2 linked regions of the Macaca fascicularis genome follow. The protein of the gene in region 2 interacts with the protein of the main gene of each other region in a pairwise test. Links are inferred from orthologs where the notes say so. Each region holds a gene or a part of one and is shown on either strand. Other genes may lie near its edges. The genes, in order: CREM and FHL5.

Evidence for each region.
Region 1: the proteins of FHL5 (region 2) and CREM interact in a two-hybrid assay, tested with the Homo sapiens proteins (2 studies listed by BioGRID). The link is inferred for Macaca fascicularis from reciprocal best matches to the Homo sapiens genes FHL5 and CREM.

What each region holds. Positions count from the first base shown.
Region 1 is NC_088383.1:35,955,468-35,959,296, forward strand, and holds part of CREM (cAMP-responsive element modulator), read left to right. Parts: intron 1-1,905; coding exon 1,906-2,003; intron 2,004-2,151; coding exon 2,152-2,294; intron 2,295-3,829.
Region 2 is NC_088378.1:78,729,597-78,733,425, forward strand, and holds part of FHL5 (four and a half LIM domains protein 5), read right to left. Parts: intron 2,493-3,829; 5' UTR 2,481-2,492; coding exon 2,322-2,480; intron 1,315-2,321; coding exon 1,140-1,314; intron 163-1,139; coding exon 1-162. UniProt on the Homo sapiens protein: May be involved in the regulation of spermatogenesis. Stimulates CREM transcriptional activity in a phosphorylation-independent manner.

The sequences.
Region 1 (3,829 bases), on a different chromosome or scaffold from region 2:
TGTAAATTATTAAGTATGCATTTTTTTAAAGTATGCATCTTAATTACTGAATTTATTTTTGTTCCTTTTTAAGGTCAGTTATTATCCTTTAAATGCTGAAATTATCTGAACCTAATTGATGACCAAAAAAAATCTGTGAGGAAAAGGGAGACACATATACATAGTGTAGTCCTTTTCCCGCGTGTTCAAGTAGTTTATCACAGGAGAACGATGAGAGTGGCAACAAGATACCTGACGTGACAAATTCACGTATGTTAAAAGCTTGATTATCTTTGTGGCATGGGTATCTTCTCCTGTATTGCCCAAAAGTGTAAGAATAATTCTCATCATTATCTTTTTTTCCTGTGATGGCCCCTGATTCCAAGAGTTTCTAACTCTTTCTGACACTAATTATAAAACAAGAAAGTCTTTCCTACCTCTTCTTTGTTTTATGCCTTTTATTGGGGTCCACATATTTCTACTGAGTTTTAACCTGGCTGGTATTGGAAGAAAGTATTGTCTATTAATTTTATTATTTAATAGAGACAGAATTCTCAGTATGTTACCCAGGTTGGTGTTGAGCTCCTGGCCTCAAGTGATCCTCTTGCCTCAGTCTCCCAAAGTGCTGGATTACAGGTGTGAGCCAGAGCACCCAGCTGAAAGAAAGTATTCTCTTATATTCAGTAGGCTTTGTTTGGATTTTGTTAAGTGAATGATCTAATTGTCCTTGTAGAAAGAGGTGCCAGTGGATCTTGTCCTAGAATACTTAATCCCTCTGCATGAACTTTAATTTTCACCTTTTCTAAAATAGATAAATTAATAGCCTACCTCACCTAAGGGAGTTGTTATGATTCTATGACAGATGTGTGAGAGCCCGGTGTAAAGTGATAAATACTTAATATTTGGTGGTGATATATGATTATCTGAGGCAACAACATTTTTTTCAGTAAGTTCTGTTGATTGAGTGTGTGTGCTTATGTGTGGGGCATTCATGAGCAAAGATGCAGAGTCATATGTGAAGGTGAATATACACCTCCGTGTACTTTGGGAAGTATATATTCTTGCTTGCATTGTTGATATTTTGATAAGCTCTTTTGATTTTATCCAAATCAGTTTCCTATGTACTTACAATATGAAGTGAGTTTTGTAAACTCTGCTACCCTAGGCCCTCAAAGTATTAATAATTGACTGAATATATCGAAAGCAGTCATGTTGTTGAAGAGATTCATTGTTTTAGTTTTCTGACTTCTTTAATAATCATATCACTGTATTATTACTTGACTTGAAAAATGAAATCATGCTTAAAACTCTGATCTTTCTCTTAAGGAGAAATTCTTTATTTGGATCTTCAAGACCTACCACCACCAAACCCTAACTTACTCCTTGTAATAGAAATCCTAATTTTACCCAGGCTTGCTTACTGACTTGCTTATCTACTTAAATATTCTGTCTTGGGCCTATCTGATAGCTAATGTGAAGACCCAGCTCACGCCAGTGCCAGCTGTGTGAGAGTGGAGACAGCAGTGTGATCCAGGAGCTCTCTTCTGCCTTGGCCCCTTGCTGGCTCCCTCCTGAATCCGTAGGAGCACTTTCAGGTTGAGAGCTTAGGTCTTGGGTATTTTACATTTTGTTCTTTGCTGCAATGCCTCATTTGACATCCCAACCACTCTTTCCCTTGTATTTCTGTAGTATATAGTACCCGTATCATTACTTTCCACACACGTTTGTTTTATAACTGAAATGTTTGTGTCTGCACTTCCTTTCTTGAGCCAGACTCCTTTAGTGCAGATTCACCGTGTTGTATTGCTTGGTTGCTTCCACAGTGCCTGGCTCAGTGCTGCACACGCAGACTCTTAGCCTCAATTTTTTGAATGAGGGAAAAGAACATATATTTTATGATACATTTCAGAAAATCTTGTATTATAGGTAGCAACAATTGCAGAGACAGATGAATCTGCAGAATCAGAAGGTGTAATTGATTCTCATAAACGTAGAGAAATCCTTTCACGAAGACCCTCTTATAGGTAAGTTAACCAAGTTTCCTACTGTAAAGATACTTTTTCCAAAATGGTAGAATAATTATTCATCAAATCAATTCTTCCTTTATAGCTTTTCTGTTTTAAGAGTCAATTCATGTATCTTAGTGACTTACATTGTTAAATTATATTTTAGGAAAATACTGAATGAACTGTCCTCTGATGTGCCTGGTGTTCCCAAGATTGAAGAAGAAAAATCAGAGGAAGAAGGAACACCGCCTAACATTGCTACCATGGCAGTACCAACTAGCATATATCAGACTAGCACGGGGCAATACAGTATGTATGCTGCAATTCGATATGATACAGTGCTAGCTTTAAGTCTTCTCTAGTTATATTGAAGCAACTCAGGTTTTGGCATTAAATTGTTCCATTTTTAAGTGCATCAATACCTAAACTGTATCATTGAATGAAAGTATATGTTAAAAAGTGAGATATTTGTATTGACAACTATCATATAATTTTGAAAAGTAAAAATTTTAACTGCTGAATATAGAAGAAAAATTTGGAGTAAAAATAAAGGGAGGATTTTTTCCTACTTACATGTTTATATTAATCTCTAGTAAAACATTGTTTTTGTTGTCTTTATGATGCATGCAAACATAAATGTCTGTATTTCATTCTTGTTGGCTTCTGTTACCCACAATTACATACTATACTTACTAATCTAAGAGTTTTCTAAAGTATGTTTTCAATGTTTCACTACTCTCTGTTAATTGGTGCTACAGTTTTTCCTAAAAGAGAATGGAAAAATGATTTAAGTTTTTAAACTGTAGCAATTGGATAGATAATTTTATTTGAAATTTTACACACCAAAAGTTCTAAATAAACAGATACATTCACATTCAGTCTTGTGCATTTTAATGGACTGTTAATTCTGTGCTTTTAGCTCTGATTAAAGCACTAGTTTTTTCCCAAATGAAAAATGTTTGATACATAAAAATAGTAAAAACCAAGAGCTAGAAAGAAAGGAAAAAGGAAGAGAAAGGATAGGGATATCACATATCCTAAGCTAGCCACTTAGGTACTGGAATAATGTGATATTCCTGTCCTTTCTGAAGTATAAATTGTCCATGGAAATTGTCCAAATCAGTTTCCCATGTAATTATAATATGAAGTAAAGTGAGTTTTGTAAACTCTGCTACCTTAGGCCTTCAAAGTAATTCACTGAATATATTGACAGCAGTCATATTGTTGAAGAGATTCATGATTTTAGTTTTCTGACTTTAAAAAGAGCTACTTAGGTACTGGAATATATGTGATATTAAATAATGTGTTTATCCAATTAAGGTATGGAGATTTTAGATATATTCTTTGTTTTTCCTTTAAAAAGTAGCAATACCAAGGAAAAAAAATCTCAAGTCTTAATTTAAGTCCTGGCTACTAAAACAAGCTATAATTTTTAATATATGAGAAGACTTTATGTAGTCATTTTTTTTTTGGAGCTTTTTAGAGTTTTTCTTATAGCATTGGTAGATTTGCAGTTGTAAACTATTAAATACATTCTCTGTTGGTAATTGAGGGGAACTCCTACCATGATACCTAGTAGATCCGGGGTGTAGTATATTCACACCTTCTACAGGGCACCCAGTAGACTTGTCCAAAGTCAGTGTTAGGAAAAGAAAACTCCCCATCATCTGTAAGAAATAGACCTTGAGGTTTACATTGTCACTTTTTTATTACTTCTTTCGTTTACATGCTCTTTTGTCTGGCACACTGGGAATCTCTGGTGGGTTTTAGAACTGTAAAACTGAGTATGCTAATGTGCAAGGCCTGCTGGTGAGCCTCTGCAGCACAGCATGCAGGTTATGAGA
Region 2 (3,829 bases):
AAAAGTTGCAGTAGTGAGCAAACTCCTTCTCAAAACATGGCACACAAAAATTGCCACTCTCTTTGGAGATCAAAGGCTTTGTCCCTATAGGTTGTCGGCAATTCTCACACACAAAACAGGTTTCATGCCAGTAGTTTCCTTTAAATTCCATTTTGCGGGAACCTGTACTCCAAAATTAAGGACCTGTTAGTATAAGTCAAGCATAATACAGATCAAATTACTTTAAGACGTTTTAAGTTAAGATGATAAATGAATTGTCCTTTTAGAAAAATAGCATTTTTTCAGGTTCAAAAAAACCCATTCATCTGAGAAAAAAAAAAAAAAAAAAGAAAAGGTTGGTAAAGTTCAGCCATGGTGATGGAGAATCACTCTTACACTGAAAAGTCTTTCAAGCCCTTCATAACCTATAATCTGGAGATGTAAAAGTACTTCGAATGAAGACTCCTAATCGTTTTACATGGTTTGGATAAATTGGGCCATCAAAATCATTACAGGGGTATTAAAAATGCCCTGAGCACAACTGCTGAGACTACGCTGTGCAGTTATGGCCTTCTAGAAAATCTCTGAATCCATAATAAGAAAATGAGAGAGAAAGAGTGAGACAGTAAGATTGAATTATGTTCTTATGCTGCTGTCCATAGAGATTGAGAAGAAGATCAAAATATAAAGAATTAGTCCTTGCCAAAAGTGGAATGATATACATGAACCCTGTCTTCCCTAAGAGAGAATAACAATGACTGATCCCCAAAACAGTTTGTGTCAAGCTACAAAATGACAGTTGGCCCCAGTCGCCTATGATGAATCACTCTTTCTGATGCCATTCATTATGCCTAGGGCACTGCGTTTAATGTAGTATTATTGCTATAAATTTTTCTTTATTTTATGGGTGAGGTTCTGGTTTGAAATGTTTCAATGAATTAGACTTTATGAAAATACACAGAACACTGTAATTTACCTATTCAAGGATAATGAATGAACAATCTTTTTATTTCTAAGGTACACGGAAGGAGATTGAGAGAGTAAGAAAGGTGTCTTTCTCAAAACCAGGGTTTTGGGAGCTGCAGCACTCCTCATGTGCTGGGACTTAATGAAAAGCATGGCAGCTTCAGTTAGAGACAGGAGCCCCCTTGAGATCCTACCAGGCATGATGGTCCTCTTGCAGTGGAAGCACTTGGAGGAGCATTCATTAGAATAGCACTCCGTGCACAGCAGGCGCTCATCCTTGGCAGCAAAAGGCTTTTCCACCAAAGAGTGATTGCATTTGGTGCACTTGAAGCATCCTTCGTGCCAGTGCCGGTCTTTGTAACAAAGATCCTTTGAGACAGTAAATAAAAGTTAATTAAATGTGGTTGTGACAAAACAGGACATTTTATAAGACAAAACTGAACACTCCTGGGACTCTCATGTCAGTAGGTTGTGCTAGTAGCTTGAGGGAAAGTTGTTACTGAAACTGTTACCCATAGAGAGGAGACTCTCTGGGGTAATTAAGAGCTAGAGCCCAGGGCTTTCTTGGTGGGTCACTTAAGGCAGCTGGGAAAAAACAAATGAATTCTCTGCTGTGTCTTCAAAATTTGCCTATATTCTTTTTATAAACTATGATAGAGGTTTTTCGTGGAATGATTTTTTAAAATTTTGGGGTACAATGTTCTATTACTTTTTGAGACTTATCTAAAAAGCAAACAAAAAAATAATATCACCTAAGTAATGCAAACGCAGAAAGAAAGGAAGAAAGACAGAGAGAGAGAGAAAGACATTTGGAGGATGGAAGGAAGGAAAGAAGAAAGAAAGAAAGAAAAAGAAAGAAAGAAAGAAAGTAAAAGAAAGAAAGAAAGAAAGAAAGAAAGAAAGAAAGAAAAGCATGTCGGAGGAATGGGTGGTAGGAGTGAGAGCTATCAGTAGGGCTTAGTAGAAATAAAGCTGATTTTACGTCAGAAAAGAGATTTTGAATCCTTACAACCTCAATTCTTTATGCATTTATTTATACCCTTGTCATTCCAGAAATAACAAACACACCCAGAGGGTTACCAAGGGCTTGGAAACAGCAGGAAAATTCTAGCTGTGTAACTTTGGACAAATAGCTTAACATCATTAATCTTTAGCATTCTCAGCTACCTTATAAGATCATGTGAGGATTAAGCATATGTTGTATTTCATAGTGCTAAGTGTAGTGGCTAGAGTTTGACTGCTGGTAACTTTTAAGATCCTTGTATATCCAGTAGCAGAGAAATGGTGTTGAAAGTCAACACTAAAGGAAAAGAGGCACTCCAACCCACTTGTTTGCGTTCATATGCAGTAATTCTGTAAATTGTGTTGAGACTTACCTTAGAATCAGATTCAATTGGTTTTTTGCACTCCTCGCAATAGTTAGAAAATACACGATCATAACATGTAACACAGAACAGACTGTCATCCTTTAGTACATATTTCTTCCCAAGAAGTGATGCTGTGCAGTATTGACAGTAAAATTGAGCAGTTGTCATTTTGGTTTGATCCTGTGAATGACAAAGTGATTCATGTATATAAAAGCAGAATTTTGCTTATAGGATAAATGATGAAACCTTAATATAATGTGAGTGAAGCATTCGGATGAATTTATATTTTCTTAAGCAAAAATCCACCAATTTAGGAAAATATGCTTCTAGTCATGGTGACATTTGGAGTGATTTAGGAAAGGTTACTTTCCCATCTTGGCAGTTCTTGTGTGTTTTGCTAAAAAAATGCATAAAACCTGCAGCTAGATTATGAAAAACATCTTGTGTTTATCATAAGCTAATGTGGAATTCAATGAGAATATGGTATCTGTTGAAACAGGATGGTTTTACCTCAAGGATATAAATATAAACTGTTGCTAGGGCTTTTAATAACTCTCATCACTTACTTCTTGCTGGAAAGTTCTAGAGGCAGATTTTGATGGAAAAACAGTCTTTTTTACTGAAATATAAATTAATAATCAATACATTGTCATTCGAGTCTTCACTGAATAAGGGCTCTGCACATTTACCCCAAGGTCTTCCTGTACCACATCCCCTCCTTAGCTGTGACTTCCACCATCCCAAATGTGCTGATGACTCCAAAATCTCTGTTTTCTACTAGCTTTAGATATCTTCATTTAAATATCTTTTACCAAGCTGGCCAAATAAAACTCCTCAGCAGGTAGGATTCTGAACAAGTGCTAGGTCTTTGTGACTATTGTTGAACAATTGCCCAAATGCAGAAGTGCATATAAAATCATCAGTGGTAGAAAACAATAATAGGTTCCTTCAGGCTTTAGGGCCAAAGTAACATGTATAGAGCATGAATAATAGCAGCAGCTATTCCATTATAGCTATGGATAAAATAGCTAGAATTCATCTGCAAGGTGAAAATCATTCTGTAAGGTGAATAAAAAAGCTGATATGAAACCTAAAGCCAGTGGTAGATAAGGATTCTGATTGTCTTGTAAATTTGGAAAGCCATTAAGAAACAACGCATATAGATTTCCAAAGGTTTTAATTAGGCGTTGAACATGAATTCTTTGTTGTTACAAAAAAAAAAAAAAAAAAGTAGTACTGCTTTTCCTCGGAAAATGAGATTTGTCATCTCAGGATTTACTGGAATATATTAGGAGCTTTGAATATTTTCTAATTCTCTCCCAACAGAATTTTTTTTTAATTTTGGCAAAATCAGAGGAGCAATTAACGATGATGATACAACAGCGTTTTTGATACTAGTTTGTACTGACTACATTTGAACTGTTATTCTCATGCGTTTTGCCTTATTCTAGTGATGAAGTTCCCAGCAGAGAGCCTTGCTAAATGCACATGATTATTAATTCTGTACATAGCAGTTT